4 linked regions of the Arabidopsis thaliana genome follow. The protein of the gene in region 3 interacts with the protein of the main gene of each other region in a pairwise test. Each region holds a gene or a part of one and is shown on either strand. Other genes may lie near its edges.

Region 1 (7,784 bases), on a different chromosome or scaffold from region 3:
TGAATGATTTTGGATGACTGAAATTCCCAAAAGAATAATTATAAAATACTCAAAAACTAATTTAAATGATTTTTTTTCAGTTATATCTCTAACATGTCTATGATATATAACAAAACGTTTAAGACAAATGTTTAAACATGAGAATAGAATCACGCTTTCAAAACGTGACAACTAAAGAAATACCATTTATCAATCTAACTCTGTTAAATTCGATTATCTATTGTTTTTCTTTGTACAAATGGTATTTTGATGCTATACATTAGCATATATAATAGGAACGTTCTTTTAGATGGTATTAAATTCATTTCATCCTATATATCTATTTCTTTCATCTTCTAGATCGAGATATGTCAAAAGGAAATACTAGATCCGTGATGTTGACAAAAGAAATTGTCCGCCTAATATGTTGAATATTGTGAACGTAAATGATGTGATATAGTGTGATAAATAAATAAATAAATGAATCAATTACCAGATAAGGATTTTTAGTGGCATTCATAGATTTGCCGAAAAAATTATATCTAAAGTTACAATTTACACATTTAGGTTTACTTGGTTCTATTTTTTTAGGGTATAATATTTGTTATTATGTATTTTATAAAAAAAAAATGGAAACATAATGAAACAAAATTCTCAAATACATATTTTTATTTAAAAAGTTTCTCAAAATTTTAGCTTTTAAGTGGCAGAAAATAGTTTTTTTTTTTTTTATAGATAAAGTGAAAAATCTAAAATGGCAAAATCAACAATAATCCAAAACAACAAAATCAACAAATCTAAAAAACTCGTTGATTGTTTTGAAGACAACAGCTATGTGGTGAAGAAAAAATGAAGAAAAACCAAAATCGACATGTGGGCTACTGTGTAAGATGCATTCATTTACAGCTACCAAACGCACACGTGACAATTTTTTTTTTTTTTTTTTTTTTGTTTGTATATATTATATAAATTTAAATACAATCGAAAACAAAAATTCTTCGTTAAACTCTTTTCAATGCTGTATTTGAAGCTTCCTATTTTTATTATTAAAAATATGTTGTTTCTAAAAAATATATATATATATATATATAAAAATTCTTTTCTTGACTCTACAAAATTTTTGTTTGCTAACAATTTTACCTTCACTGTTTACTATACAAAAAATCTCTGTTTTAGTGAATAATATATGCAACTAAGTTTTTCGCAATAAAAATACAATAAAAAAATTGTAGCTAGCTATAGTCTGGTCACAAACCATAGGAAATGTAGCCTCTAAAAATAAAATCAATAACAAATTTGTACTGATCTTTTTATATCGACATAAATTTGGTGAAAGTCCAAATAACATGTTTTTCGTACCATAATCAACCAAGTGGTGTTCCTTCAACAGATACATAAAACGAGGCAAAATAAAAGTGAACGAGGCAGACAAAGAATTTTCCAAACCTCATTTAAGGGACTAGGTTGACTTTAGTCCTTTACTTTAGAAGAGAGTTGCAGTTTTCATCTATTGTAGGGGTTACACAAAATTTGTTCTTATGTGAGTCCAATTGCCAAATTGTACATCACTCGAAGACAAATTGGGCCCAAACTGTGTAGAATGGGTTTGGGCTGCCAACCCATAATAAACCTTAAGTTGAAAATGAATTAGTTTGGCACATGCTTTTTTTTGTCATGTTCATGCTTTTAAAAAAATTCAAAATTGGCCTAACAAGTTTCACATCTCTAGAATGTTGTTCCTAGCTGGCTAGTTCCACGCACGTGTCACACTATAATTTGTCATTTCGTGAATGAAGAAATCATTCCAACACTTTTGTTATTTTGATAACCATACAAGGAATAACACGTGAAGGAATTTAGGAAACGAGAGATTCTAGAGAAGTCACCTAGTTTTGTATTTAAAAAAGGTGCTCAAAATTAGAAAAATATCGAATTTTGTTGAAAAAGGGAAAAATAAACAAAGACAAAGTAGTAAATAGAAACTTGGGCATGAAGCTAAGGATATGACTGGTCGCCGAGAATTAATAACCACACAGTATTATTACAAAAAGTATACAAACCGAAACTTCTCGCGGTGATGATGAAACCTCAACGCAATGTTATCGTCACATCAATTTGATTCCTCATTATAGTATGAATGAAAAAGCAGATTAAACAGAAAATACATAAAGAGCTCTATAACTCAATAGGAAATATTTACCACTCACCTATGTTTTTCTTACACTTTCACTCTAATTTATTTTGACAAAAGAAAAATTGTATTATATTATTTAAAGACTTGACTTTCTCTTTAATATTTTACTGTTTTTTATATTTAAAGCAATATAAAAAATTATCATCATTTTAATTAAATTTATTATCCCTACCATTTTACCAAACCAACTCAGTAATAAACTCATTTCATACACATATTTGACAAATATGTCGACTGTCAGAATCTAGAATACTATTTGTCAAATGAAAGTGATTACATTATGAGATAACGATAGAAATATCCACATCTCTCCTGATCACCAGTCAACATATCTTTTATTAACGAATTGACTGGTAGTTTAAGACGCTAATTATCCTTTGCTCTATAATACCATTTCAATCGATATTTTAACTAATTATATACTATTAGAAATGAAATGACAAATCTGCCGAAAGCTTTTTTCTTTTTAATATTTTGTCAAAAGAAGACACACAAAAAAAAAGTAAATTGTATTAGAAAAAATCCAAGACAGAGAAAAAAGTAAACGCGTAGACAGATGGCGACAGGAGAAAGAGAGAGTGGAGAAGAAGAAAAGAATTGCGATCAAAGAAAATTAGACTTCTTTCTTCCAACGTTTTCACATTACAAATACACAAAAACCAAAAGATAAAGAAAAACAAGAAATATTTTGTTTTTCGATCTGAAAAAGTGAAAGCTTCTTCAAAATCTTTGCTTTAGAGATCGTTTGGTGATTTTTTTTCTTTATTTTTTTTTTATAGTTTCTTCTTCTTGATTCTTTCATATGGATGGACATCAGCATCATCACCTTCACCAGCTTCAATATCTCAACAAGCATCATCTTCATACTCAATCGCAAACGCCGGAAATAGCCTCTCCGGTAGCTGTTGGGGATAGGTTTCCACAGTGGAGCGTCGAAGAGACAAAAGAGTTGATAGGGATAAGAGGAGAGCTAGATCAAACTTTCATGGAGACAAAACGGAACAAGCTTCTTTGGGAAGTTATCTCTAACAAGATGAGAGACAAAAGCTTTCCTCGTAGCCCTGAACAGTGCAAGTGCAAGTGGAAGAACCTCGTCACTCGTTTTAAGGTCTATTCTCTCTCTCCCTCTTCTTTCATTTTGTGGATGTTTTATAATCTTGGAGGTCTTGCATGGAACAAATAAATAAATAAAAATTTGTAACCAAGAAATATTGAATCTTATAGTCCATAATCTTTCCGGGACATATAGACAAACACCATTGTAAATATTTCTGAATCTTGTTGTCCATAATCTGCTAAGTAGTTTAATTATATGTATACAATCTCATTGGTGATGTATTGCTTGATGTTTCTAGGGATGTGAGACAATGGAGGCAGAGACAGCGAGACAACAGTTCCCTTTTTATGATGATATGCAAAATATATTTACCACTAGAATGCAGAGAATGCTATGGGCTGAATCCGAGGGAGGAGGAGGGGGAACAAGCGGGGCAGCGAGAAAGAGAGAGTATTCTTCAGATGAGGAAGAAGAGAATGTGAATGAAGAGCTAGTAGATGTCAGCAACGACCCAAAAATTCTAAATCCGAAAAAGAACATTGCAAAGAAGCGAAAAGGCGGTAGTAATAGTAGTAATAGCAATAATGGTGTAAGAGAAGTGTTGGAAGAGTTTATGAGACATCAAGTGAGAATGGAGAGCGAGTGGAGAGAAGGATGGGAGGCTAGGGAGAAGGAAAGAGCAGAGAAAGAAGAAGAATGGAGAAGGAAGATGGAGGAGCTTGAGAAGGAGAGGTTGGCAATGGAGCGGATGTGGCGGGATAGAGAGGAGCAACGGCGGTCGAGGGAGGAGATGAGAGCAGAGAAGAGGGATTCACTTATCAATGCATTGCTTGCTAAGCTTACTAGAGATGGTTCCCTCTAATCTTTTGTCAGCTTTGCTTAACCTAAATTAACTTGTTCTTATATGCTTGTTTGGGGTGTAGTGTAGGTACAATTATTTGGTGGGGGAAGATAATATCTACGGCAAATCTCAACACTCATATATTGATTGATATGATGACATATTTGAGTTTTAGTGAGGCTTTAGTAATTTATCATCCCCACATTATTTCTTCCTAGTTTATATTTTGGCGAGCCAAATTCTTATAGCATATCATTTAATCTTAGTAGTATACTGGTTTTAATTAGTAATTTGTAGGACCGTATGTGTAGTATTTTAGAGTAATTTGGATTTTGTTAGAGTTAACCTACAAATCCATATATAGTGCAGCGAATGTAATATCGGTTTCAAATATTATCTTCATGCAGAAGAGAACGAGGATACTAATAGTTTATGGTATTATGAACTAATTAACTTTGATGAGAATGTAGAGATCAAGAGGGCAAAACAGTTAGTGGAAATATTAAACATGCTCGAAACAAGAATGAAAACTTATCCTATGAATTATGGGATCATTTAGGTCCATTGTCTGCGATCTAAACTTTTATTATTTTACCATAAATGTTTTCTTGTAACATTGAGAATCATATCTAACATGGCAAGATAATACGTGAATGCGTATGGCGTTTCTTATCCACATAAATTTGTTTTACTTATGTTTTTTTTTTGTTTTCCACATAAAGATTAGTAAAGATCTTGTATTATTTTATTTGTAAATTTATATTTATATAATTATATACTAAGGAGATGCTTAATGAATAAAATACACATCACATGTTAATTCTAGAAAATACGTTAACCAGTTTTTTTTTGGTAACATTGTTGTTTCTTTATTTATTTACTAGCTATGAACTCATGCGTGGATTTATTTGTAAAAAATTTAACAGTTTTTTGTGTGACTAAAATATTTTATTGAAAATTTTGAAAATATGATTTTATATATCTATTTGTTGTTAATATTATAAACTCTTTGAATTTTAAAATTATCATGACAAATAGTAACAATTTAAATACATAACTAGAAATAACCTTTATACAACTCTTAGATTTTACAACATTTAGCAAAAGAACATTTTTTTGGTTAATGACTCTCTCTTTAGCTTTAGATATTTAGGATAACGACGTCTTTTTTTACGTATTAAATAAATTGTTGTATAGGAAATAGATTCGACGATTCTCATTTTGGTACCCGCAAATTTACTATTGTTTTTCGTTTATCTTCGCTGCATTAGTTAGTATAGCTCTTCTAAAAATAAGATATTTTGTAGAAATATATTCGTAAGTTTATCTACACTTTCTTTTAACAACTCATATTTTTCTCACATTCTTTTCAATATGTATATGAATTTCTTTCACAATTTTTTTTACAGAGAGCTATGACTCTCCCTATCTTTTTGCAAAAACTCGTTTTATTTGTTTCATTTTTTCTTACAGTGTCTCTTTCATCCTCTTATGATTTTGTCTAAGCAATATGTGCCATACCTTCTTAAATTTTCACATGCTCCATATTTCTTCTTCGAAAATCTCTTCCTTTTCTTGTTAGTATAAGCATTTTTCAATCTCGTCAAGATGTACTCTGTTTTGTTTTCTGTTATTCTAAGAAAACGTTTTAGCTTCTAAATTGATACTTAACTCTATCACTTCTCCTTTTTGATGCAGTTTAGATCCTCTTCACCTTCACGCTTCCCAGACTGAAAGACCTTAGTTTATATCTTCGAGAACTTGATTCAAATTGATACGATTAAAAACACCACCATCAAACCACGTCCTTGTTACGTTTCTTTAAATTATATTAAAATGTTGGATTACTTGTATAAGATCTTATAAGGTTTGGGTTTAATATTACATAATTATAATTCTATAGCTTCTTTTTTTTTATAAGTTTAAATTTAATATTTGTTATTTTCCTTTTCTATTTTAAATTTTAAAATAGAAAGTAATTACTATTTTCAAAATTGTTAACTAATTAGATACTAAATATGTTAATTAATGACATGTTTAACGCGGATTGGTCGTTCTAAATCCTATGTAGACGCCTTTAGAAGCAAATAGTTTCAACATTTATATAGTATAGATTTATTTGACATTACTTTCTCATTCCCACATCTTTAAGCGTTTTTTTTAAGATCTTATAATACTTTTTGTTCACAAGATGAAAATAGTTTAGTTAAATTTTATTTATCTTTTAAATTTTAATATAGTTTCGGCCGATACATATAATTCATTTGTCATCAAATACCACATTTTCCACCTGGTCCCCCAAAAGAGAAACTTACTCCAGTTGACTTGAAATAACCCCAGTATGATAGTCTATAACATTGGTAAGAATCTGCATATATCCTTGCTTTCCTGCTTTCAATATCAACTAGTTGATAATTTGAATTCTTAACTTTAACATGAACATAATGTGAACTTTTAAAATAGCTAATAACCGGAAAATGTCCATTTCCCATTGGAGGACTAATTCCATCCGGAGATGTAAAAGTATTTCCTCCAAATCGCACCAAAGAAGCTCCTTTGTTTAAGTGTGTAAATAGTTTTTTGGGCCAATAACCAACTATTTCGTTCATGACAGTGTCTTTTAGTACCCAGTTTCCACTGAAACCATCCTAACAAAACATAAAACACTAGAAAATGACTGCAAAAATATTTAAATTTTATACGCATATATGTTATTTTAAAAAGAAATTTTGATGCACTATATTGCAAAATGGAAAATTATAATGCGGATGAATGTGATTATTTCAAAAGCCTAACAAAGAATTTGGATTTGTGGCATGTTATTAAAATAATTAATAACTAAAATTCTTATCATTGTTGTCGAATTATTTGTCGTATAAAATGTGAAGAAGATTTACCTGGAAAACTTGTGGTCTGATAACAACTGATCCTTTACCACCATAAATAGAGGATTCATTAAAAGCGATTCCAATTTGCGGAACTCGACTTATAATAACAAAGCCAGGACAATTTGTATTATAACACCCAGTTTTCTTATACCCATCTGCCTAAAAATTCAAAAGAGGCAAAATATTTTGAGATACGAGATACAAAGAGACAAAATGGTATCAAATGTTTTTTTTTTATAAACATATAAAGATATGATTTATTTTAGAGAAATTGGTAAAAATGCCCTTTCAAGACTATCCCTTTTTAACTATGCTATTTCATGTTGGTCATTTTTATTTATACTCTCTTTTAATTTTTAGTGACCATTTTACCCCTATTTTGAAAATGTTTTAGGTTAACAAAATAAAATATTAATTTTTCTGCCTAAAATATTCAGAAGATAGATTTTCCGATAATTATTTTTTTCGAAAATATTTTTCCCGCAAAAAAAGAAATGGCGGGAAATAGATTTACAAGGGTTTTTACAAGATTTTTAAAGGGTTTAGAAGGATTTTAAGGATTTACAAGGGTTTTTCAAAAAAATTTAAAACATGTACAAGAGTTTTAAAACCTTATAAAAACTTAAAACTCATGTAAATCTTTTTAAAATATTTTGTAAAGGTTCACAAGAGTTTTAAAATGGTTCAAAGATTATTAAAGAGTTTACAAAGATTTTTAAAGGGTTTACAAGAGTTTTCAAGGATTTACAAGAGTTTTTAAAACATTTACAAGGGTTTTAAAACCCTTTAAAAACTATTGTAAATCATTTTAAAACCTTTTATAAT
Region 2 (7,726 bases), on a different chromosome or scaffold from region 3:
GGCTGATGAGTTTATCGGAAAAGAGAGTGAGTCGCCGGAGAATAAGTCTAACGCGAGTCCGGTTTCGGTTCTTGATCGAGATCTTTATGATTATCTAATCCTTGACGATGATTACTACTTCTCAGGTGAGTCTACGAAATAATATTCAAACATTTTTATCTCTCGAACAAATATTTGAACTTAATTAATTGCTTTTTGAACCTTCTTTGAAATTTTGCGAAAAGAATCATCTCATGTGAGTAGTTTCCTACTTTAACTGCAAATGAGGTAAAAATTTGGTCATTTGGTCAACATTTTAACCGATTCAGTACACTTTATTTGAAATACTAAATAATAAGATTATTCAAAATTTGACCAATATAAGAATTTTCCTTAAACGTTGGATTTATTTGAAAAATGATTAAATTTAACCAATATAAGAACATTTTCGCTTTTAACATTTTTCTTGATTTTACTGTAAAAAAAGCTGCGAAAATGAGACTTTCTCAACATTTTCGAGAAATTTTATTTTTATTTGCCCAATCATATTTTAAACGTCACTTTAATTTGAAAAATAAAACAGGAGGAGATTCAGAAAGTGCATCGGAGTTGTCAACAAAGCAAGTAGAGACAGCAACAAAATCTTCATGTTCTTCATCACCAGCAAAAACAAAAACAAGTACCAAGAAAGAAAACAACAATAGCACCAACAATGATTCAGAAGAGACAGAGTTTATCACAAAACTAATGAATATGCTCTCAGATCTGTCTGAAGAAGACATGAAGTCTTCCACTTGGGTTTCTACTTCGTCAACTAAACCCGTTGACTTTACTCAGGTCGAAGATTTTTGTGTCGAATTTGGTCAAGAGATTCTTGACCTTGTTATGGACCAGCTAGTTGATGAACTCTGTATCTAGTTTAAATTCCCAATTATCAGAAATATGTCGTTTTAAAATCTTGTAATCCAAATGTTAACCAGAGACTCACAACAATCGAAATTTTCATCACTCCATATTTTCTAAAAGTGTTATGCGGCCAATATAAGTTATTGACCAGAAAAATTATGGTTAACATTTATGATTAGTACTAAAGACTATAATGTACTCGTCTTAAATAGTCCTATAGACAAATATACCTATCCAAAACACAAGTATGTATATGGCGAATATCACCAAATAAGCACAAGGATAATCTTAGTGACTCGAATACTCGATCATAAGAATGAAATTAAATTCAAATTCGATATGACGAATTATCAAATGCATTATAAATACATGTAGTGGGTCCAAAAACGGTCAAATCGGTTTTCTTCTGAATTTTGGAGAGCTCCGTAACTTCGAAATACGTACTGTCTCCTTTATGTCTATTTCACATGCAAATCATGGTCTCCTTCTAACGTTACTTCTTTGACGTTTTTTTGTACTTTTCTGTGTTTTTTTTGGGGGGTTCACATGTAAAATTCAAGAACATTTTCCCACTCTAAATTATTTAAGTTTCGAATTATAATTATTTCATTTAGTCATAAACTATTTTTTTGCCAACGAAAAAGTGGTAAATATTGAAGGTCCTTGTATTCGAACTGGTGACCTCACAGAGTTGGTCACACGGCTCTATACAATTGAGCTGACGCGGCGTATTAGTAATACGTGTTTTTTAAAATGAACGGATATATTAGTGTGAACGCGTTATAACACGGTTTCATGTTTTCGGTATTTTTATCTGTTGGTAGCTGTCTTGCAAGAGAAGAAAAGAATAAAAATAACAAATTCTTTCTTTACAATTTACTTATGAACAAAATAAGTTTTATATATCACACAAATAACGCGGTGAAGTAATGTGGGACAAATGTGAATTGAAAGTTTTGGAATAAAGACTTTTGTTTAATTCTTGTTTATCGCCTGATTAATCGTTATGAAATATTCTTATTAACAGAATAAAGTAGCTAAAAGTATTCAACCAATTTGGTTTTGGACACCTATAACTATGAACAATATAATTCAAACTAGCATATCTAATTAATATCTATACAATTGTTTTATGCATGTACGTAAACTATTAAATGATTTATTAATTCTTATTCTTATCGTTTAGTTAATTCACATGTTACCTTATATTATATTTAGTAATTGCCTGCTCGTTTTACTCCCTCTCTATTTATTTTTCTTCCTCTAATATTGAAGGTTTATTTTTCTCCACCAGGATTTTTTTTGTTTTTAGAAGGATAAATTCATTTTCATACCACGATAACATATATCAAAATTTGAACATTTATCTTTCTTTTTGGAAATTTCAATAGTTCATATAAATATTATAAAACAAACATTAATTTAGATATATTATCTAAATTGATTTGCCTAACAAATTAACTAGCTAATTAACTTATGCTTAACACAAATAATGAGAACTTAGAAACCTTGATTATGATGATCATCATTATGATCTCTATTAAGCCTATTAAGCAAAGCATCGATGAGAGAATCTCTCTTCTGAGCCCTAGCTTCTTCTCTCAACCGTCTCTCTTCCTCTCTCTCCATCCACCTCCTTTCTGTGGCGGCTCTTTCCTCCTCTAGCTCCGCCATTCTCCTCCGCCACTCTTTCTCTCTCTTCTCCCTCTCTATCTCCTTCATCTCCCATGCATCTCTCCATTCCTTTTCCATCTTCACCGTTTGCCTCATAAACTCCTCCAATATATCTTTTAGTGTATTACCCGCAGTTTCAGCTTTCGTACCACTCGCAACGCCTTTTCCTTTTTTTGCACGTTTTCTTGGATTGGTCGAAGTACTAGTAGTAATCACTTCTGTCTCTCTTTTCTGTGTCTCTACTAAAGACAATAATTCCTCGTTGATATCTTGATTTGGTTCGTCAACTTCTTCTTCTTCATCATCAGATGAAAATTGATGATGTTTTCTCTTCGAGGAAGTGCTTGGTTCTGTGGCTTCTGACCACAGCATTCTTTGCATTCTTGCTTCAAAAATCGACTGAATCTCATTGTAGAATGGGAACTGCTGCCTAATAGCATCTGGCTCAGTGGTCTCACACGCCTGTCCCATGAATATTCATTATGTTATATAAACAATTATATGTAAACACGTAATAGTACCGACGCAAAATATTTTAGCTAACCAAGTATCTTAACTCGAAATCATATATCATAGGAAAACAAAAACACATGTTCATCATCTATATCACGTTTCTTTTACCTTAAATAAATGTGTGTATAGACTTTTTCAACTATCTTCATGTGTTCATCAGTAACGGTTCTTATTAAATCTTATGCACCCGTTATATAACGGTAATTATATTTTTATGGCATATTGTGTTACTTACTTACCATGTGATCAACGAACAAAAAGAGAGATATTATGGTATAACGGATCAAAATGTGAACATAGACAATATCATGATGAAAGCTCACCAATAAACGCGTAAAATTCTATTCTATAGCTCGTTACCATTAATGACAGGACAATATCTAAAAAACCTAGGCGATTAGGTTAAGCTCATTAATTGATGTATATATAATGTAGTTCACCTATACATACACCATAAACTAGGTTTCCATTTCAATATGCATAATATCAGTCTAACCACACAAACTAGTGATGAAATACATGATACACATAATTATAGTTTGTATATACTTGTAATCATGATCATACTAAACATTTATAGGTGTATATATCGGGACTATATATAGAGAGAATCATCAATAGGATTCTAAAGAGTTGAAGGGTAACCTTGTATCTAGTGACGAGGTTCTTCCACTTGCTCTTACATTGTTCTGCGCTTCGGACAAAACCCTTGTCGGCCATCTTAGCAGCCACGACTTCCCAAAGAAGCTTATTACGTTTGGTCTCCATGAAAGTTTGATCAAGTTCTTCTCTTATAGCCAAAAGCTCCTTTGTCTCCTCTATGCTCCACTGTGGGATTCTCTCCCCACCTCCTCCTCCTCCGCCGGGATCCATCGTCGCCGTGGTGCTCAGCGGCGGCGGAGGAAGCTGTTGCTGTTGGATCAAGTGATGATGAAGCTGATGGTGGTGGTGGTGATGTTGGAAAGGGTTACGTCGGTCCATTATTTGGAATCGAATTGTCTTTGTGACGTGAAGAGAAGAAATAAGAGGGAGATAATTTTATTTTTTTGTTGGGTTACTTATAAATGAAGAGAGGTTTCATTGAAAAAAAGAAGAGAAGACAGAGAGGAAGGAGAGAAAAGAGAAGAATCTAATTAATTTATAAGGATGTGTGAAAAGAAGGTGTGAAATCGTAGAGGGACGATAGAAGTGTAGTTTTTTGTTCTTTTCTCTAATTAAAATTATTAAGATGAGATTTTTTAATAATTATTGAATATACTAGAACTTATAGAATTATTTAGTTGAATAAAATACGAACACGAATGACTCTTTTGGTGAAAAGGACACAATTCGTGATTACATTAAAAATAATAAAGCTTAGATATCCCTTTTTCGGATGATAAACTCTAGATTTAAAGCAGCTAACTAAATAATTCATACTTTTTTTTTCTTCGTATTCTAGAGTTTAAAAATAGCAATCTCAAACAATTACAGGGGTAACTTGCATCAGTTAAGAATATCTTAAGTAAAAACAATCGCCTTAATCTTAGAGTAAAATCAAACAATATGTTTTTTTTTGACAGATTGATTATTTGTGTGCATCATTCTAAACACGCTTTCAAATTTGTAAAGTTGTAGAACTATATTTTTACTGTATGGTTATTGTTTTTCCTTGATGATGATTTTGTGACCAAGCTCAAGTACTCAACTGTCTCGTATTTTTTGCATTTGGTAGTTATTCGTTAATAATTTGTCCCAATACATATAAATGTTGCGTTAATATTTCGTCACGCTTACGAGTTACGAGTCACAATCCGATTTTTATTCTTCAATCCGATTTAGCCTTTATGGTCAATTGACCCACTAGATTTTCCTCATCCCATAATTCTTGTATTTTTCTTTTGAAAAATTCATCGTAACAAAAGTAACCTAATGGTTGACAGACAAAATATATTAAATAAGCTATTGGATCAATATGCTTTTAGAAGTTTAGATTAGCCCCGTGTCATGGAGGAAGAGATCAGATATAAACAAAGAATTAGAGAATTGTTGTTAGCAAGTTTTACATAATAGATACCTAACGTTCCTATCAAAATAAAAAAGAAGAAGAATTAAGTTACAGAAAACAAGACTACCGTTATGATTAGCTAAGAAATTAATTTGATTGGAATTGTAAATTCCCCCAAGAAAAAAAGAAGACTATTCATTTATGGATTGTATGATATTTAGTATATGAATAAATGGAAATCGTTATATTCGCAGTCGGCACAAAACAAATAATGCGTACGAACAGAGAAAATGTACTCTTGTTCTGAAATGGTTTGGATCCAGTGCAATATACAACTGTCAGATTCCCAAACACACATATGGTAGTACATATTTAGAAGCCGCGTCATTGCAATGATATAACAAGTAAAACGTACGGTGAATGAAACTTGTAGGAGTAAATATTTTTTATTTGTATCTAAAGAAAGATTCGTCGGGGTTGTATTTTTGGCTCTGATATGTGTAAGAAATACTAGTACTACTCAGTAGTAAAAAAAAAAACAAAAAAAAGTCAGCGAAGTGGTCCAAATAGCGATGAAGCGTGTTGAAAGTAAATCAAAATCTTACATGACATGCACTAGACTTCGCTCCCACCTGTCATCCCACGTGGATTCACACCTTATTTATTTATACTAAATTAATAATAATGTCGACTACTCTAGTGAATGATCTTTAATTTTTCTAATTCTTATGTTCAAAATTTGTGGTCTTTAATTATTTAAAAGAGAAATTGTGAATGAAGGAATTTTCTGTGAACAAAAGAAAGAATAATCAGTATTTTTTAATTTTATTTAAATGGAATCAAATAATCAGCAACGCGGAGTGTTGTTATATTCCACGTGTAAACGCCCACCATGTTTGTCCACGTGGCCATCTCTCTCTCTGTCTTTCACTTTTTATTTTAACAAAGATTTTTGTTGGCTGATGTTTATCCGCTCAATACAAGTAGGCCACCTCATCATCCTTTTTATTTCCCATCCAAATTTTTGCTTAAAAGAATTGAAGTCTTAAAGCAAAGAACAAAAAAAAAACGTCAGCCAAAAGCATATATACAAAAATCAGCCTATTCGTGTTATTTAGAACTTTTGAGGTGAATGTTGTTTAGGGTATCGCTCCGGATTATTCGGAAATAGTAATAAGTTTAGTCTTTTACTTTTGCCGTAACTTGGTGAATGCACATGACTTCCATTTTTGAATTTGGAGTCACTGCAACAATACATTGTTGTTACAAATACCAAAAACCTTTCTCACTGTTTGTAATACTGCTGGTTTTGAACCAAGACCATGAAAATGATATTTCAGTTGATTGCAGAAACTCTTCTTGTTCTTGAAAACATTCAAATATTTGACTAAACTAAACTCGATCTGTGTTTATTTTTTTGAATCTATAAATCATACTAACTTTATGAATGAATATTACTAATTCGTACATGTGGAGATATGCAAGTAATTTGCCTAACCAGAACAATCAAAGAGGAACATACATTAGTCTGTTTTTTCTTCTTCTTATTATTTGACAAGTAACAACAATTATTCCATGTCAACATCAGCACGTGAGGGTTGAAAAGATTTTAGTGAAGGAATTAAACGGGACAAGGTCAAGAAGATTGAAGAATGTGAGAAAAACGTAGAGATTTGGATTTTTTAATCAACAAAAGAAAAAGGTTCTTCAAATTTCGCTACTATGATTAATCAATTTGAATTACATTTTGACATATTGTTAAACGTTGATTTAGTCTTTCCAAATCTGTTGACAATGTTTACTATTAAACAAATATTGAAGCTTTTAGCAAAGAGATATAAGGAGAGACTTTACTTCACTAGTCGTCAGTCATTACTAACTAAACCGGCATCATTTGGTGGTATGTATTTCCCTTAAAAACCTTACCAAAATGCAACCAAAATAAATTAAAAAAACCATAAGCACATATTCTGCTTCTAAAAGATTCCAAAAAAGCTAGCAGATTGAAAAAACTGAAACGAGATGCTTCAATCTTTGGACATTCAAGGTGATAACATCCGCTTGATCCCTGATTTCTGCTCAGTGGTTAGCTTCGAAGGGAACTTGATGATGAATCTGATTCTCAAGTTTCCTTTTCTTGACGGATCTTTAGGGATCGGCATGCCTTCTCCTTTCACCACCTCTTCGTACGACGGACTGATCACATTGTTTACCGGAACTGTTAAGGTTCTTCCGTCAAGAGTAGTGACCTGTGCGGTGTAACCTGTGAGAGCATCCACTAGAGAAATCTTTTGCATTACCACAAGATCATTCCCGTCTCGTTTGAAAACGGGATGCGGTTTCTCGTCTACGATGAAAACGAGATCGGATGGTATGACTCCACGATGCTCATTACCTTTTTCCAGGAAGGTTATCTTTGTTCCTTTTTTCCAACCGGGTTTAATTTCTATCGTCAAGATCTCCTCAACCGGTGTTGGCCTCCTGCATTAAAGGATAAACAGAGGTTTTGTCAGTAGAAGAACGTAGAAAATAAAATTTCAGTAATGTCTTTATACTCATGGTAGTGGAAATCACAAAAAGTAGGAATGAATTTCGATACTTGAGATTGCGAAAAGGAAGATATTCAAGAGAGCTTTAAGCAGACATTCTAACAAGGATTAGAGATGA
Region 3 (7,867 bases):
TACCGTTTAACCGAGGGAGCTTGTCCTGAGAGCTACGGACTTCAAGTGGCACTCATGGCTGGAATACCAAACCAAGTGGTTGAAACAGCATCAGGTGCTGCTCAAGCCATGAAGAGATCAATTGGGGAAAACTTCAAGTCAAGTGAGCTAAGATCTGAGTTCTCAAGTCTGCATGAAGACTGGCTCAAGTCATTGGTGGGTATTTCTCGAGTCGCCCACAACAATGCCCCCATTGGCGAAGATGACTACGACACTTTGTTTTGCTTATGGCATGAGATCAAATCCTCTTACTGTGTTCCCAAATAAATGGCTATGACATAACACTATCTGAAGCTCGTTAAGTCTTTTGCTTCTCTGATGTTTATTCCTCTTAAAAAATGCTTATATATCAAAAAATTGTTTCCTCGATTATAACAAGATTATATATGTATCTGTCGGTTTAGCTATGGTATATAATATATGTATGTTCATGAGATTGGTCAAGAGAAATACTCACAAACAGTATATTAAGAAGGAAATATGTTTATGCATTAATTTAAGTTTCAAGATAAACTGCAAATAACCTCGACTAAAGTTGCAAAGACCAAACACAAATTACAAAACTTATAAGACTTAAGTTCTGAATTCCCTAAAACCAAAAAAAAAAACAGAACATATTTTGTTGCATCTACAAACAACACAAACCTACATAGTTTATAACTTACTCATCACTGAGATTAACATCAGAATCATTCTCCATTTCTTCATCTTCACTCTCATCATCATCACCACCACCATGATGATTCTCCTCCTCTTCACGTAACCTAGCAATCTCACTCTGAGCTCTATCAACAATCTGCTTCTTCTGCAACTCCAAATCTCTCTGAAAATCAGCTCTCATCTTCTCCAACTCCTTCATTTGCTCTTTCTTACTCTTCTCCATCTTCTCATAAACCTTCCCAAACCTCTCAACAGAATCCGCCAACATCTTATACGAAGCAGCGTCATTAACCTTCTTCCTCTCGTACTCAACCTCATCATCCTCATCCTCCTCCTCTTCAGAATCACCAGGACTATCCATCATCTCATCAAACCCATTAGACTTATCTAAATAAACCTTAGTGTTCATAAACACAAACTCACCTGAATCAACACCACAAGCTAAACCTAAATCCGACTTGGGCGAAACACAAAGCAACATATCCAACTTATTGAAAAACGACCATTTACTTGAACCTAAACCTGATTTCTCAACCTTAATCTTCTCTTTTCTATACTTCCTCTTCAAGTCATCAATCATTCTCCTACATTGCGTCTCAGATTTCTCCATCCTTAGCTCCTCACTCACTTTCTCAGCTACTTCATTCCAATCCTCGTTCCTCAAACTCCTTCTACCCAATTGCAAAAACCTATCTCCCCAAACTTCAAGCAACACAAAAGCTTCTTGCTCTCTCCAATCATACGCAACTTTAGCATCACTAGGACCAGCAAATTCAAACCCAGAAACTACTTTGTTTGGTTTCTGTCTCTTCTGAAACCTCTCATTTCCACGAATGTATCCTCCTTGTGGATCTTCCTCTTCTCCTTCGACTTCATCTTCGTCTTCTTCTTCATTGTAATACGCGTGACGCTTAGGTATTGGTCTACTATACATTGGATGGTTTTGCCGATTCAAAGAGTAAAACTTTTTTGGGTATCCTGTTTCATCTTCGCTGTCACCCATCTTTGAGCAAAACCCAGAAAAGCAAAAGAAGAGAGAAGAAAGGCAGATCTAGGGTTTCAAATCGGACAGATAGAGATTTACCTGATTTTTGCACCTAATAGAGGAATATCTTGGAGGGTTTAGCTTTGAGAAGAGATAAGTAGAAGAAATTGATGAGGTTTATAAACCATGGCCGTGTCTAGGGTTAGGGATTTGCATTTTCAGCCGGGTCGGAGTAGAAGAAAAGCTACCACCACCGGTGAACATTGCCTCAGCCAGCGACGGAGTTTTGTCGCGGCGTTTGTTGGGACCATCCACTGGGTCATATTGGGCCAGTTTGGACAGCACTAATGGGCCAAGAGGACCACAATTATTTAATTTTAACCGATAGCCCAAGAGTTCCCAACTAAAACTAACGATCATTAAGAAAAGGAGAGTCTAAACTCTAACGAATATCAGCTTTGGTGTCGGTTAACTTATGACTTATGGGGTCAATTTCTGACATTTAGGGTCATAATATTTTGACCTTTAGCGTCATATTGGCTCAAAGGATTTGAAGCTGTCGATTTTTGGTGGGTTCGAAGATCTGCGAATGCAGTTACTGATCGACTAGCTAAAATGGGTGCCATTGAAACAATATGTTATTTTGATTCTCTGCTTTATATTCTTAAATATGCTACGTATGCTTTTAATTAATCTGAATAAGTTCAAAAATTAAAAAGGGCTAAGTTTTATTTTTCATATCACGGTGTTATTACTGAACTTGCAAGAGTTTAAGCTGCAAGAATATGAATTGCATAAGCATCTACTATGGGAGCCTCGGTTGTGGGAAATCTCCATGTGTCACATTATGATTCATACGTTTTTGAAAAATGTGAAAGTGTATCCCAACGATAATTCATTTAATACACTATGTAACGTATAATTTTTTAAATTATTAATGATGAAATCTTGTTTGAAGATGATAGTATTAAATTAAGTGGACTAAAATAGAGAAATGCCAGAACTCTTTATTTAATAATTGTTTGTTTCTGTGTTTTAATATAAATAAATGAATGTTATGCTTATTGCCAATGAAAATGTCGACCACGCTTCAATGTTGGTGAGTAATTATTATGCATCAAAAAGGAAGTAAGTATAACCTTAATGGAAATGATCATGGTAGTGATAAGGATCATAAATAATCGCAACGAATTTTGTTGCATCAATGCATCATACTATTGAATAACTAACACTAGTCTCGTACAATTTGATTTTAGGTGTTTAAATCTCGTTAGTGTAAATATAACGAGATAAACATTTACAATACAAAAAAAAAATTGAATTGTGTGACCTTGTAAGAACAGATTTTCGAAAAAAATTAAGAGTTGAGTCATTGATATGAAGAAGCTTCCAAGACAATGATATATGAATTGGTTAGAAACAAGAATTAATATTAATCATAACTCTTAAGTAACTCGGTCATTCCCACATTGACATAAGTAAAAAATAAATTTTAAAAGATTTGATACTTGAGTTTGGTATTCCTGCTAAGTAAAAAAAGAAGAAAAAGATTTGATACTTGAGTTGAGTTGGCATTGTGGACTTTAATTTCGTTTGAATCTCATTAACATGTTAGGCTTAATTATAATTAAACCTAGACGATTGACCTGTTTTGTGGGTAGATGTACCAATATATTTCAATGATTATAAAGGTTTAGTTTTGATCTCTAAATTTTCAATTTTTTTTAACAGTTTCATTTATAAAAAAAATTAATACAATTTTTTTATAAGAAAAACAGTATAGTTTAAAACAAGCTTTAAAAATTTCAAGTCTCAAATCAAATAAATAGAGATTGTTTTTTATGAGACAGTAAACACTACAACATCAACTTTCTTATAAAATATAACAAATTGTTTTACAAAATTCAGTAGGTAGAGTCAGACAGGTATGTATTCGTATAATTTTAACTTTTCAGATTTTTTTCATTAATGTAACTCATAAAACGTTTAAATAGATTAAACAGTGACATCTCATAATTACCTAATACTGATAAAGCAACAAACAATTTTAAGGTAATAATATAGTATTTTTATAAAACGGTTGAGCTAAATATTTGAGATACATACTCATTGTTCTTTAGTATCCAGTACTACTATTTACACAATCAACAAGAACAACAAAATTGTGATATATATTACAGTTCCTCCACATGAAAATAATAAAGTGAAGTAACGGTCCTAGGCTCCTAAACGGATATCTTGGGAGAGAGATGTGAACAAACTTGAAAATTCGTATGAAAGATTTTTGATAAGCCAATCATATTACATGTCACAAGATATCGATGAAGTGAAAATAAAAATGAAATTAGTATTTTATGGTTGGAAGGTCGCGTCGAGAACATAAGTGTAACGGAGAGAGAGAGTCAATGAGTGATCATAAAACCGTTACGAAGTTTCTCAAGTCTTTGACAACAATCTCTTTCAAACGCGTTATGAGTGGTTACGTTCGCTCACTCCAATGCCAACTATGTTGCTTTCACCAATTTTTTGTCTTTTGTCTTTACTTTGAGGCTTTGAGCATTTATTTCTTAATCTTTTATTTATTTTTATTTATTGATTTGACAAATATATAGTCCAAAAGTATCTTCGGTGATTTTTTTGGTAAGGGGATTCCTACGAAAGCAGGATGCTCTATTGCCAATAATATATATAGTTTAGTTAATTAATGAGGAAGTTTTTGGTCTAGTGTTAAAGATAAAATGTTTGCCAAAAAGTTGTAAAGCACTTTGATTTACATGAGATTCCAAATAGAAAAGACTTATTGGATGGAGAAGAAAAGAGAAATTGGTTATAAAGGATTTGATATTTAACCAAAATAAAAATTAAAAAACAAATTTGATGGGACACTGACTTGGTCTCTTGGTTAGAAGAAAAGAGATTTTGGATGGTCTGGTTGCTAGTAGATGATCTCAACCATAGTGGTCTGCTTCACCTCACTGGTCAAATGTTCATCTAAGCACTAAGATTTTGTATTTCTCTACGCAAGAACTTTTATTCTGTGTGAGCTTCCAGATTCATTAGTACTGGAAGGTAAAAGTAACTCTGATACATACTCAACTAGAGAATGAAGTTCACATATCTATAGAAGGATAGAAAATACAACTAATAGCAAATGATCATATACTCTAAGAAATAATTTCTTACCTCATAAGAAGATATGACAACCTTGTCATCTTCACAATTGCATGATATTTTCATAGTACATAATGTTACATACAATTATCAAAAATAGACTATAGAGTCTTTATTTTTTAAAAAAATCGCCAAATTTATAAAATTGTATGATTAGTTGGTGAAAAAAACAGAGATGGCTAGAGTGTATGAGAAACATAATGAAATGAATAATGAATTAACAAGTAACACTTGATGCACACACAAAAAAAAGAAAAAAAATCAAGGAACACTATTTTTTTGTCAATCATAATGCATTACAAATATAGAAAAGGTTTGTGGTGTATCATCCATTACAAGAACCCGATAATCCTAGAGATACAATAGCGTTATAGTAAATGTACATGAATATTTTGCTAATTGATCCGTCATTTACCATCGAATCTTCTAGGGTTTTTGAATTCTTGTGCATGGTTCTCATGAATCACATCTAGTCTATTAAGGAACATTATCTTCCTTATAATTACATTAACAAGACTAAGCATATAATAACAAAATACTTAATTTTATTTTATTCATTTTCTTTAAATTGAAAATGGCAGAAATAAAGATGTTGCATTGTTGGCTCAACAAGAGAAACTCGATAACCTATATTCAAATGTACAAATTATGTTTAAATAGTAATTAAAAGCATTTGGGTTCTTAAGATAATGAATGAATGTTCACACAGTATTTAGCGCACAATCAAGTGGACAAAAGACGTTGAAGACTTCATGGGAAACTTACCATGCGACCTACCTAGTTATTATAACTTCTTTCACTTGGCCTCCTCATATAGACGAAGCCGGTAACAGATGAAAATGTTGATCACCTCGTTCTATTATTTAAATCAAAAATTCATGACAAAATTTAACCGCATAGCATTGTTGATTTAACAAGAGAAGTGATAACCTAGATTCAAATGTATAATTTAGGTTTTAAGAGTAATTAGAAGCACTTGGTTTTTAAGAAAGTGAATGTTTGAGTATTAAAAATAGCAGTTGGTTTAAAATTTAAAAAGAATAAAACAGTACCAATCGTTAGATCATTATAGTTTTACTAGCATATTAAGAAGTGTTGCGAGATTTGTGATGAGAAAAATAGTGGTTACTTTCATATAAGCTCAGGTGAGAAATCTATATGTTTCTCCACGGAAAAGAATACTATGCATATTATGCATAATTTCCAAATTTATATACAATACGTACAAATCTAATAAAATAATCAAAAATATGTATATGTTTGCATGGTTCACTCTAGATCCTCCATACTAAGCTCCTTCATCAATCATCAACGGCTGATTTTTAGTGCAACACTTTCACCTTTTTCAATATTTTACACTGTAACAAGATCTGAATACTTGTATAATTCCTTCATATGGAGACACGATCTCGTGAATTAGTGAAGTTTGCATTATTTATGGGACCTTTTGGCCCACAAGAAAAAGTGTCAGGATACAAAACTTGTGTGTATAGGACGAGTTATACATACTTCTTAAACTAGTTTGAATGTTTAATATACGTCTCGACTCACTCTAGATGACTTCAATTCCTTCACATTGTTTTTCAACATAAAAAACATATGACTTCTTAAAAATACAAATTCAAATACTCTATTGTAATTCGGTTCTTACAATTCTTTTTGGCTATTGGCGAAATGTGCTCCTTTTGGCACGAATCATTAACATAACTTTATTTAAAAACTTCATAACGAATGTTTTACATGATGATGTACCATGGATACCAAGTAAATTTGAACAGAAGTGATTATGCAAAAGTAAAAAGCATATGGTTATTTTTCTACATATTTGTTTCGTTAAAGTAATATACTATTAAATTCGACTATCCAAAAATCGACACATGTCGGCGACCTAAAAGCCTCGAACATCCCGCTGGTCTATGAGAACATTACCTGATGTGTCAAAACGTCCCCACACGGTGTGCTTCATTGCGGCAATAACTAAGAAAAAGCTCCAAAAGCAAACTTAATTAGACAACTAATCTTTTGATTACTAAAGCGATTCGTTTGGTCCTCCTTCTAATGATTTTTATAAAACCTGGTAGTTAGGCTGTTAGGTGTCGCGAAATTCTTATAATTTATTATAAACCTTAATGGAGTCGGTTATCAAATTATTTGTATCCATGCTTTATAATAGTGTATGGGTTTGTAGAATGAATAAAAGATTCGAAAATGTATGGGTTTTATAATAGTGTTTTGGGTTTTTAAAACAGTGTTATACTTCTACATATCTTTTATGAAATCATAAATCTGCTGACTTAATTGTTTAGTGCTGCTCCTTGCCAAAGTTTCTGCCCGTGAAATGATAATGCTAGTGCTATAGAATTTGATAAATGTTTAGTAATATACATTAGAAAGTAGATATTATTATTAGGGTAAAACTAGGCTAATAGGCATTAATCATTCAGGTTATTATACGTGGATGTTGAACTCACAAAATGTTTACTAAAGATCGTTGGCATCAATATGTTTCGAAAGATTGCGAGCTTGCGCATCTCACCACCTAATGAAAAGCTGGTAGATAATCAGAGACATCACACATATATTCCCAAAACAGTACATGAACAATCATCACCGTAATCAGTCGAATATGTTTATTTTGATAGCATAGTCTAGGATCGAGCTTTAGCGGCGCATCAAATTTATGAACCATGTGATTCTTGCAAAAGATCGACAAGTAGCTAATATATCCGTCCCGCAAATTCGTAACATGTATCTGAATTCAGTCGAAGTAAAACGTTACAATAGCATTTTGCATCTCATAAGAATTTTTTTTTCTTAACTAGACTCTCTTATCGTATTAATTTTTTTAAACATATATTACATACAACATTTCGTTCGCACAAACAATTAATCTAGCAATGTGCATGGATTCTCGGCACTTAGGTATACCGTAGCCATCAATGATATGCCAATTTTTTTTTATAATGTTTTAGGTTTTTGTAATGCCAAATGCAGGGAATTTTATGAAAATGA
Region 4 (8,001 bases), 500 kb from region 3:
ATATTTAATTTGGTCAAATAAATAGCAGATGAAATTAACAAAGGAAAAAAAATATAGCAGCTGAACTTTAAATTATTATAGCAAAATTATTCTGTGAGAAATGTTAGTATCTTGTTTTATCGTCCAAGATTTTCTGCAAATCTTTAAATTGTAGATTATCTAGTTGATTTTTTTCTATTTCAGGTCATTTACTATTTCCGTTCATTAAAATCAAAATTTAGATCGTCAAAACCTTTAAGTTTTTGGGAATTAACCTTTCGGAATTTTAACCTCGGGGGCTATAAACGGGCTTGGTCCATCTTCGTAAACTTTTCGGGCTCATTAGCCCAAAATTGTGTGCAAATGTGAAGAGCAGCTAGCACTCAACGTTAGCTGAATCCCAAATTGATACTTGTTTTGCAGAAATAATTAAAGAACATAATGAAACATCATGTTGCTATTAGAAAATTAGTAAACATTGTTACTTTATTACATTTATAGCTCTGAGACTATTTAAATAGTTTCATTGATAATTATTTTGTATTATTAAAAGAAAAATAAAATCAAACACGTATAGAACTGAAAGAAATCTGTTTCCATTTCAACCTATTCGTCATCGTGGATAGACGAAAGAATCCTTGGAAGGTTGATTAAAAATTTCACTCCTATAAGACTAAGACACCATGTCAAACTTGGTTGATCAATCCTAATCTTATATAAGAGAAGATTAAAACAAGATTAGCACGTACTATATATTTTATTATTGTTAATCAGAGATATGTTTAATTGTTTATGCACAAATGTAGATAAATTATGAACTAACATTATACAATTAATAATAGGTGTAGTCGAATATTCCTTATGGATATGATATTAGTTAATATGAGAAGTAATGAAGTATAGACCAAGAAAAAGCATTTGTTGCTTTACTATTTGTTTATTTTTCCATGGTTTGATCTCATAATGGTCTTAAAGTAAGTATCAAGAGCTATTTAGGCTTTTTATGACTCTGAAAGGTCACATAAAGATCCTGCTTCTAAGAGTTTAAAACCCATTCCAATCTATTAATAAATCATATCATAAGGAAACCCTAATCCGATTCCTGTTCTTTTGGATCCATCGTCAAATATTAAATTATTAATACTTACACATCTATAGAATCAAAGAAGTATTTGATAATAGTAATATTATTGAAGATTTGAAATAGATCAAACCGCCATCTCGGGAACTCCAATAGCCTTTCTCAATGTTCAAGTTTCCCAATGGTCTTCGTATTCAAATTAAATTATCAGTAAGAATATTATTAAAACTGTAGCCCCATTTGTTATAAAGGTAGTAGAAAAATAGGTCACATGGCTCATAGAGTCACATGAAAGGATCCCTAAATTTGTGAACACTTATTTAGTAACTTGGTAGGAATTTTTAAAGATATTTAACAACTTGGTATGATTTTTTTATGTTTGAGGTGATGAAACCATAGGAACCAAGAAATTTTGATTAAAGGATAACTTATCAATCGAAATCATTTTGATTATTGATTCAGAAAACCTCGCAAACGAACAACACTTAATAAACAACAGTGAGAGCGAACAAGAAAACCCAACAATTGTTGTTGTTATAGAGAATGAGTACAAGTCAAGAGATATTAATTGTATAGTAGTGTCGAGAGTTAGAATGGTCAGCAATTTTCATGTGGCTTTACACCTTGTTTCTTGCCCTTAAGTTACAAAAAAACTTGTCTTTTAACATATTTTGGGTTTAATATTTACACAGTTATATACTTATATGGAAAAATTGTATTTACAAAAGTAAAAGGAACAAATAAAGAATAATTCACTCCACGAGAAGGAGCCCAACGTGCACATTTGTGTTAATATCCAGTACAAGCAACAAGAGAATAAAGTTTAACCTGAAAAACATATTTGCAGATTATGCTCTTCAGATTCCGGCATATTCTACCGAGTTCCGATCCTTCTGTATGGCATAATTTTTTTTATTTTCATTCAAAAAAGTTTATATATGTATTTTTCTTCTGTTTTCGAAGACATTTTACATTTCTACAATGTTTCTGTGTATCTTATATTACTATAGCAAATAGAAACCTGGCCGACATACATATGTTAAGGACGAAATTAATTAATTTGAGTTTGTGACTGACATTTATTAATTTTGGTGGCTAAAGCCTCTATAAAAATATATGCTGATAATATACCATCATTCTACATATAATTACGATTCTTTCTATATACGATTCTTCAACTAGTAATCTAATAATTTTGTGTTATTAACTTATTATCATCGATATGCATATTGCACGACGTAAAAAAATATAGTATGCATTAGCTAATATGGATCTTTGATCAAAGATATCATCGGCTAATAGAAAAAAACCAAGAAACTAAAAATAACATAGAGTCACGCTCCAACATCTATATATATACACTCTTCACAATATTAATGTCTATAACTTTTTTCTCTTAATAAATAATCAAAAATTAAATTTATGATATTATTTTTGCATCTTTCGTCTTTGTACGAGTAGAACAAGACATAGCTGGTGAGCTACACCGAAAAAATCCGTTGTTAGAGCATCTTGATCTATCTTCCGAAATCTTCCTACCAAAATTGGAATGCCTCGGCCACTCGGACGGCAACGAACTGACCATAGGCCCATAAATCCCGGTGGTCTCACCCGATGCGACGGCGTTGACTGCGTTGGCCGTTGAATGGTTAGTCTGTGGGACCCATATTCCACCAACCACCACGAAATGTTGCGTTTGAGAGTTTCTGTTGTTCGGTGTTGTTTGGCTTGGCCGTCTTGCATGCAGCCTATATTTCTATTTATCATTAAAAAAAATATGAAACAATAAATATTATTTTCCTTCTAAATTATAAAAACATTTGTAACTAAAATGATGAAATTAATATATACCTTTTACATATTAGTTACATGTATTTTTCATGGAATATGATTTACTAACCTGTAAATGACTTTTGACTTCATCATTTGTTAACCCATCAACCTTCATTATATCTCTTATCTGTTTCGGCGTAGCTACTTCAAAATTTAGTGAACAAAAAGGTCATTACGAATTAATTAAACTTCATGAGCCCTAACAAAAAGATATGACTACTGATATATATGTTTTAACTTAAAACCAAGAAACGCACCATGAGGGCCACCAAGTTGTTTAAGAGCGTTCAAGAAGCGTCTGTGTAACTCTTGCGACCAACACCGCCTATTCTTTCTCTGCCCTCTTCTGCCACCGCCACCGCCACTGCCACCATCGCTAGTAGTCACCGGTGATTTTATGTTGTTGTTTTTCTTCGCTGCTTCATCGTTTATTTTTATCAACTCTACCAGCGTCTCTGTCTTTTCTTGTGAGCGATCCTGAATACGCAAAATGCTATTAGAAACTTAAATTACAAAACAAAATCTTTTTGTGAGCAATTTACTATCTTTTTGTGCACCCATCCTTTTTCGGTCTATTAAAAAAAACAAAAACTGGAAGAAAAAAGAATAATCTATTTGTGAAGTTGTAAGTTACAAACACAATCGCATAAAGTACACAGAAGGTTATGCGTTTAGTCTTTACGTTAACAATTAACAACGTCAATAGGCTGGTTTGGAAACAATACAGTAAATGTAATTCAAGGCAAACAAAAACACAAATGTAAACAAAGAAAAAATAAAATAAAATAAAAATCTTACCTGTCTATTATTAGAAACAACTGCGTCGGATTGGTTCCAGAGCTGAACAGACTTGAGCCATTCAGATTTCATGTTCTTGTCATCAAAATCTATGTCGGTTTCATGAGACTGGTGTTCTTCATCATCATCATCTTTGTCATCAACCTCTTCTTCTATGGAGGTCGAAGAGTGTTTGATTGGTATGAACAGATCCAAGATGCGCCCACATTCTCCGGTGGTCTGCTCTGAGCACTCCGACTGTCCGTATAAGTTATCCGTCGACGTCCCTGATATCTCCCTCTTATACGCCTCAATCGCTAAATTCCATAAAACATTTTTTAAAAATCTTTAGATCTAACATTTAATCCATATATATAAACTCATTATATCTTATATGAAATGTAAATGCATATGTATGTACCTTGAGTCACGAGCTCTACGCAAAGAGGAAGCTCGCGTTGGAAAACATTGATCTTGCGACGTTCTTCTTCGAGAGCTTCGATGTACTCGCAACATTTTTCACGTTTCTGATTGTCATTCTTCATATTACTTAAGTTCTTGATCATGCTGGTTTAAGGGACAAAACAAAAAACCAGCTTTGTTTTCGAATAATTGATAACTTTAACTATAAAGTTAGTCAAGAAGAGATGAGTTATGTCTCTTTATAAAGACAACGTATATATGGCTCTATAGGGTTTCTCAAGGATCATTATTTGAAAGAGAGAAGTCGGGCCGTCGCATTACAAGGCGAATCTTGCTTTTGTTTATAAAATAAGTATATACCTTCCCAAGTTAAATATTTTTTTTTCCCTTGTTGTATAGTAGTATTGATCCAGTGGTGAATATTCCTGGATGTGATTCCAAGTTTTTTTCGTGTGAACTTTATATTTATTTGGGTATATCCAACCAAGGTTTAAAGAAGTCCTATAACAACATTCATAAGTTAGAAAATGTCTGCGATTCCACTACAACAGAAATCGAATTTTGGAAGACTATAAACTATTCATTCTATTATTTTTACAAGTTTGATTATTATGTCATTTATAGAATTCAATACGTGGGAAAGAATATATGCAAATCCTTAAAAACAGCCGCCAAAATAACACTAAACGTGCATGAGCTCTTTTGTTCTGTAAGTATTAATTTCACCCACACAAAATCATATATAAAACGTTGAAAATGTATTTTTCAATATCCCAATATGAAAAGCCAAATGTCTCTTCGTAGACAGCCGAAACATGGGAGAAGAAAAGCCATATATAAAAAAAAAACTGTAATATACTTGTTGAAATTTCATAGGACCTTGAGAATTTGTTGAATTCGTTATAACCTTATCCATAAATACACATGTAAACTAATATATATATCCACACAATATGAGTTCCTATATATCTCGTGTTTTTGACCGGTAATTTTAATTATGTCAAGTAGACGATTACTAAGTACACCTACTAATATATATGCGAATGCATCTTCCCAGTATAATGGCCTGCCAATGCATTTCCCGGTCAAAGATATAACCTAATGCTACACATATCAATTTATATGCTATGCTGTTGTTATATCCATATAATTTGGAATTAGATATGAAATCAAACGTGATTAAGGGCTCTAATAGCTGTCAACTTTAATGATAAGAAAATATGTTGCCTCTATAGAAATTGGTGTGTAATGAGCTAATATGTTCGGGTGATGTCCAAAATATCAAGAAATTACCCGCAAATTGTTAGAGACCAACATCAAATTTATTACTCAAAATTTTAAATATCGATTTATATGTTATGATGTTATGATACAAATAGATCCACCTATTCGTAGTCTCGAGAAATCAAAATTGTGTTTAACAGGCTTATCTGTTTTGATTAGATTGAAACGTATTTTAAATAAAGAAATTAGTTGGCAAATAGAGTTTAGAGATGTATTTTAGTGTTGGATTATAATTGTCCCCTCGGAGTCTCAAAAGGCCATATTCAGTGTTCACCACTGGCCGCGGCCGAACAAAAAGACGGCCTCATGTATTGAACCCAACATGCCAACTTTATATACGGCCTTGTGTATTGTTTCCTACTTGGGCTCAATTTATCATCAATTTTTTCCACCCCTTTCTCGTATCTCCAATATTCGTATGCAATAGTACCACTAAACTCCCCAATATTCGTATGCAATTGTGAACCAAAAAAAAAGGTACCACTAAACTCCCCAACTTTGTGGGCTTCCCATATTGATATCAAACGAAAATATCTATATATAAACTTAAATCTAAAGTATAGAAGAAGAAAAAAAATCGCAAAATTGGTGGTAACCTATAAATTTTCAATTGTTTAAGATCAAACCAATGAACTCATCCTCCTAAAAAAAGATAGAAAACATAAACAAATACTGTATTTATCCTCAAATACTTCGTGATTTGTTTGTCAAAAAACTGGCATAAACGTTTAAAAGTTAGGTGATAATACCCAAGTGTCTCGGATCTATCAGACCCTATTTTTCAATTTGTATACTACTTGATATATGTTCTATGAAACTAAAATCTTTTTCAATAAAACGGATCACAAATCCGAATTTTGCATTCTCTCGTAGCTAAAATTCTCTCTTTTTTGGTATTACAAAAAAAACACCATCTTGGTTTTTATATTTGGTAAATAATTCAAAAAGTGCAAATAAGATATTTATTTTTTTTAACATTCGCAAAACTAAACTTAACTTTGTTCTTTTCTCATTTATGATCAAAACTTATGGTCAAAATCTGAACTTAAATGTCAGAAAGCTTACAGAAACATGACAATAATGTTCCTGACATATGATGAACCTACAAATAAAATTTCCCTCCAACACATGTTTTGACTGGTAGACACAATAATATCGATCTTTAGAGTATAACAATATTACACGATTCACTTGACAAGATGTTAACTTCTCAATTTAAAAAGATAGCCAGCAATAACTAGGTTGCTTTTTTTAGTTTTAAATATCTGTGCCAACAACAAATTAGCGTTAAAGCATTATGACATTAACACAATTAACACCAAAACCATAACGAACCAAAAAATATTGTGTTACTAATTACTAGCATTAACTCCACTACCCTAACTGTGTATATGAGTGTACCATTTTAAACCATAAGATTAAAGGTTCTAGCTATCAATTTATTCCGTGAAAATACCGAAACTAATGTAAAAAGTTTTACTTTGAAATCGAGTACAACAGTTCCACGTTGTAGAAAGACCAGTTGTAATCAATAAAGTCACATCAAAATAAATACTTTATTCCCTCAACACATCATTAACTAACCTCACACAACTCATCAAAATATTCTATTACAAAACAAAACAACTATTAAACAGCTAATTACTTAATTAGTAAAGTTACTTATAACTCCACTAGGCTCCATCGCCTTAGCTTCCGGTGCCGGTTTCACATCCTTCGACGGCGTAACCGCCGTTCCAGTAAGCTCCAGCGGTAAATCATTAGCTAACCCTTTAAGGTAAAAAGTGTAGAACAGTTTTGTCGGATACACAAGCTGACGAAGCTTAACCTGTCCGTACGCACCTTCAAAGATTCCAGAGCCACCAGTGACAGCGAGGAACGTGTCTTCATAAGTCAAGTATTGTCCTTGTACAGACAAGTGACCATAGTCACCAAAGTAGAAGCTGTAACTAGCTTCGAATCTGTCACCGCTCTTTTCAGGAACGTGTTGGATCAAAACGCAGAGACCTGCCGTGATTCCCACGCGTTTCTTGAGATCGCCGGTGTAGAGTTTGTTTGTGAATGGGACGAGATCTCCGAGACAAAGCTCTGTTGGTTTCTTGCCGAGTTTAAGAACTGCTGGACTGTTTCTATCTCCTTCGTTGAGCTCATACACGTTTAGTTCTTGGATCTTACCTGAATAATTAAAACTCGAATTTATGAATTCGGTACTTTGTTTTTTTAAGATCTGATTATTTTTTAGACCAATCAATTTTGAGCAGGGCATTTAAAGATCTAATCGATTTTGCTTATGAAATAAAGCATTTTGATTTCTGAGCTAACAAAAAGGATTATTAGTCTTTAAATCTTGATTTGTCTCAAATCTAGGAAAAATATCGGATTAACAGGCGTTGACTTAGTCGCAGTGTACTAAAAGACAAAAGGATCTATAAACTATTAAACTTACTTGGTCTGGAGTTTTCGGTCTTCTTGCCCCAATTCCAGAAGAAAGCTCGAGTAACGTTGAGGTTCTTGGAAGTAGTAGATCTTGATCGGGAGGAGAAATCTGGACCGTTAGATGAGATTCCAAGGTTTTGGAAAGATCTTGAGAAACCAAGAAGAGAACTGCGGTGAGATTGATGATT

What was found.
Region 1: the proteins of AT3G24490 (region 3) and AT2G38250 interact in a two-hybrid assay, tested with the Arabidopsis thaliana proteins (one large-scale study listed by BioGRID).
Region 2: the proteins of AT3G24490 (region 3) and AT5G01380 interact in a two-hybrid assay, tested with the Arabidopsis thaliana proteins (one large-scale study listed by BioGRID).
Region 4: the proteins of AT3G24490 (region 3) and AT3G25790 interact in a two-hybrid assay, tested with the Arabidopsis thaliana proteins (one large-scale study listed by BioGRID).

What each region holds. Positions count from the first base shown.
Region 1 is NC_003071.7:16,015,409-16,023,192, forward strand, and holds AT2G38250 (Homeodomain-like superfamily protein), read left to right. Parts: upstream 1-2,801; 5' UTR 2,802-2,975; coding exon 2,976-3,281; intron 3,282-3,528; coding exon 3,529-4,092; 3' UTR 4,093-4,748; downstream 4,749-7,784. Other genes in the region: AT2G38255 (hypothetical protein (DUF239)), read right to left, coding at 6,936-7,118.
Region 2 is NC_003076.8:153,399-161,124, forward strand, and holds AT5G01380 (Homeodomain-like superfamily protein), read right to left. Parts: upstream 4,204-7,726; 5' UTR 4,054-4,203; coding exon 3,718-4,053; intron 3,022-3,717; coding exon 2,386-3,021; 3' UTR 2,212-2,385; downstream 1-2,211. Other genes in the region: ACI1 (ALC-interacting protein 1), read left to right, coding at 1-125, 563-897; AT5G01390 (DNAJ heat shock family protein), read right to left, coding at 7,102-7,540. UniProt on the Arabidopsis thaliana protein: Probable transcription factor that binds specifically to the core DNA sequence 5'-GTTAC-3'.
Region 3 is NC_003074.8:8,904,857-8,912,723, reverse strand, and holds AT3G24490 (Alcohol dehydrogenase transcription factor Myb/SANT-like family protein), read right to left. Parts: upstream 2,303-7,867; 5' UTR 1,703-2,302; coding exon 701-1,702; 3' UTR 501-700; downstream 1-500. Other genes in the region: MSH7 (MUTS homolog 7), read left to right, coding at 1-306.
Region 4 is NC_003074.8:9,409,431-9,417,431, reverse strand, and holds AT3G25790 (myb-like transcription factor family protein), read right to left. Parts: upstream 4,381-8,001; 5' UTR 4,237-4,380; coding exon 4,092-4,236; intron 3,988-4,091; coding exon 3,692-3,987; intron 3,371-3,691; coding exon 3,151-3,370; intron 3,038-3,150; coding exon 2,961-3,037; coding exon of another isoform or gene 2,922-2,960; exon of another isoform or gene 2,817-2,921; coding exon 2,481-2,816; 3' UTR 2,192-2,480; downstream 1-2,191. Other genes in the region: AOC3 (allene oxide cyclase 3), read right to left, coding at 7,023-7,552, 7,824-8,001. UniProt on the Arabidopsis thaliana protein: Probable factor involved in nitrate and phosphate signaling in roots. Integrates nitrate and phosphate starvation responses and adaptation of root architecture, depending on nutrient availabilities.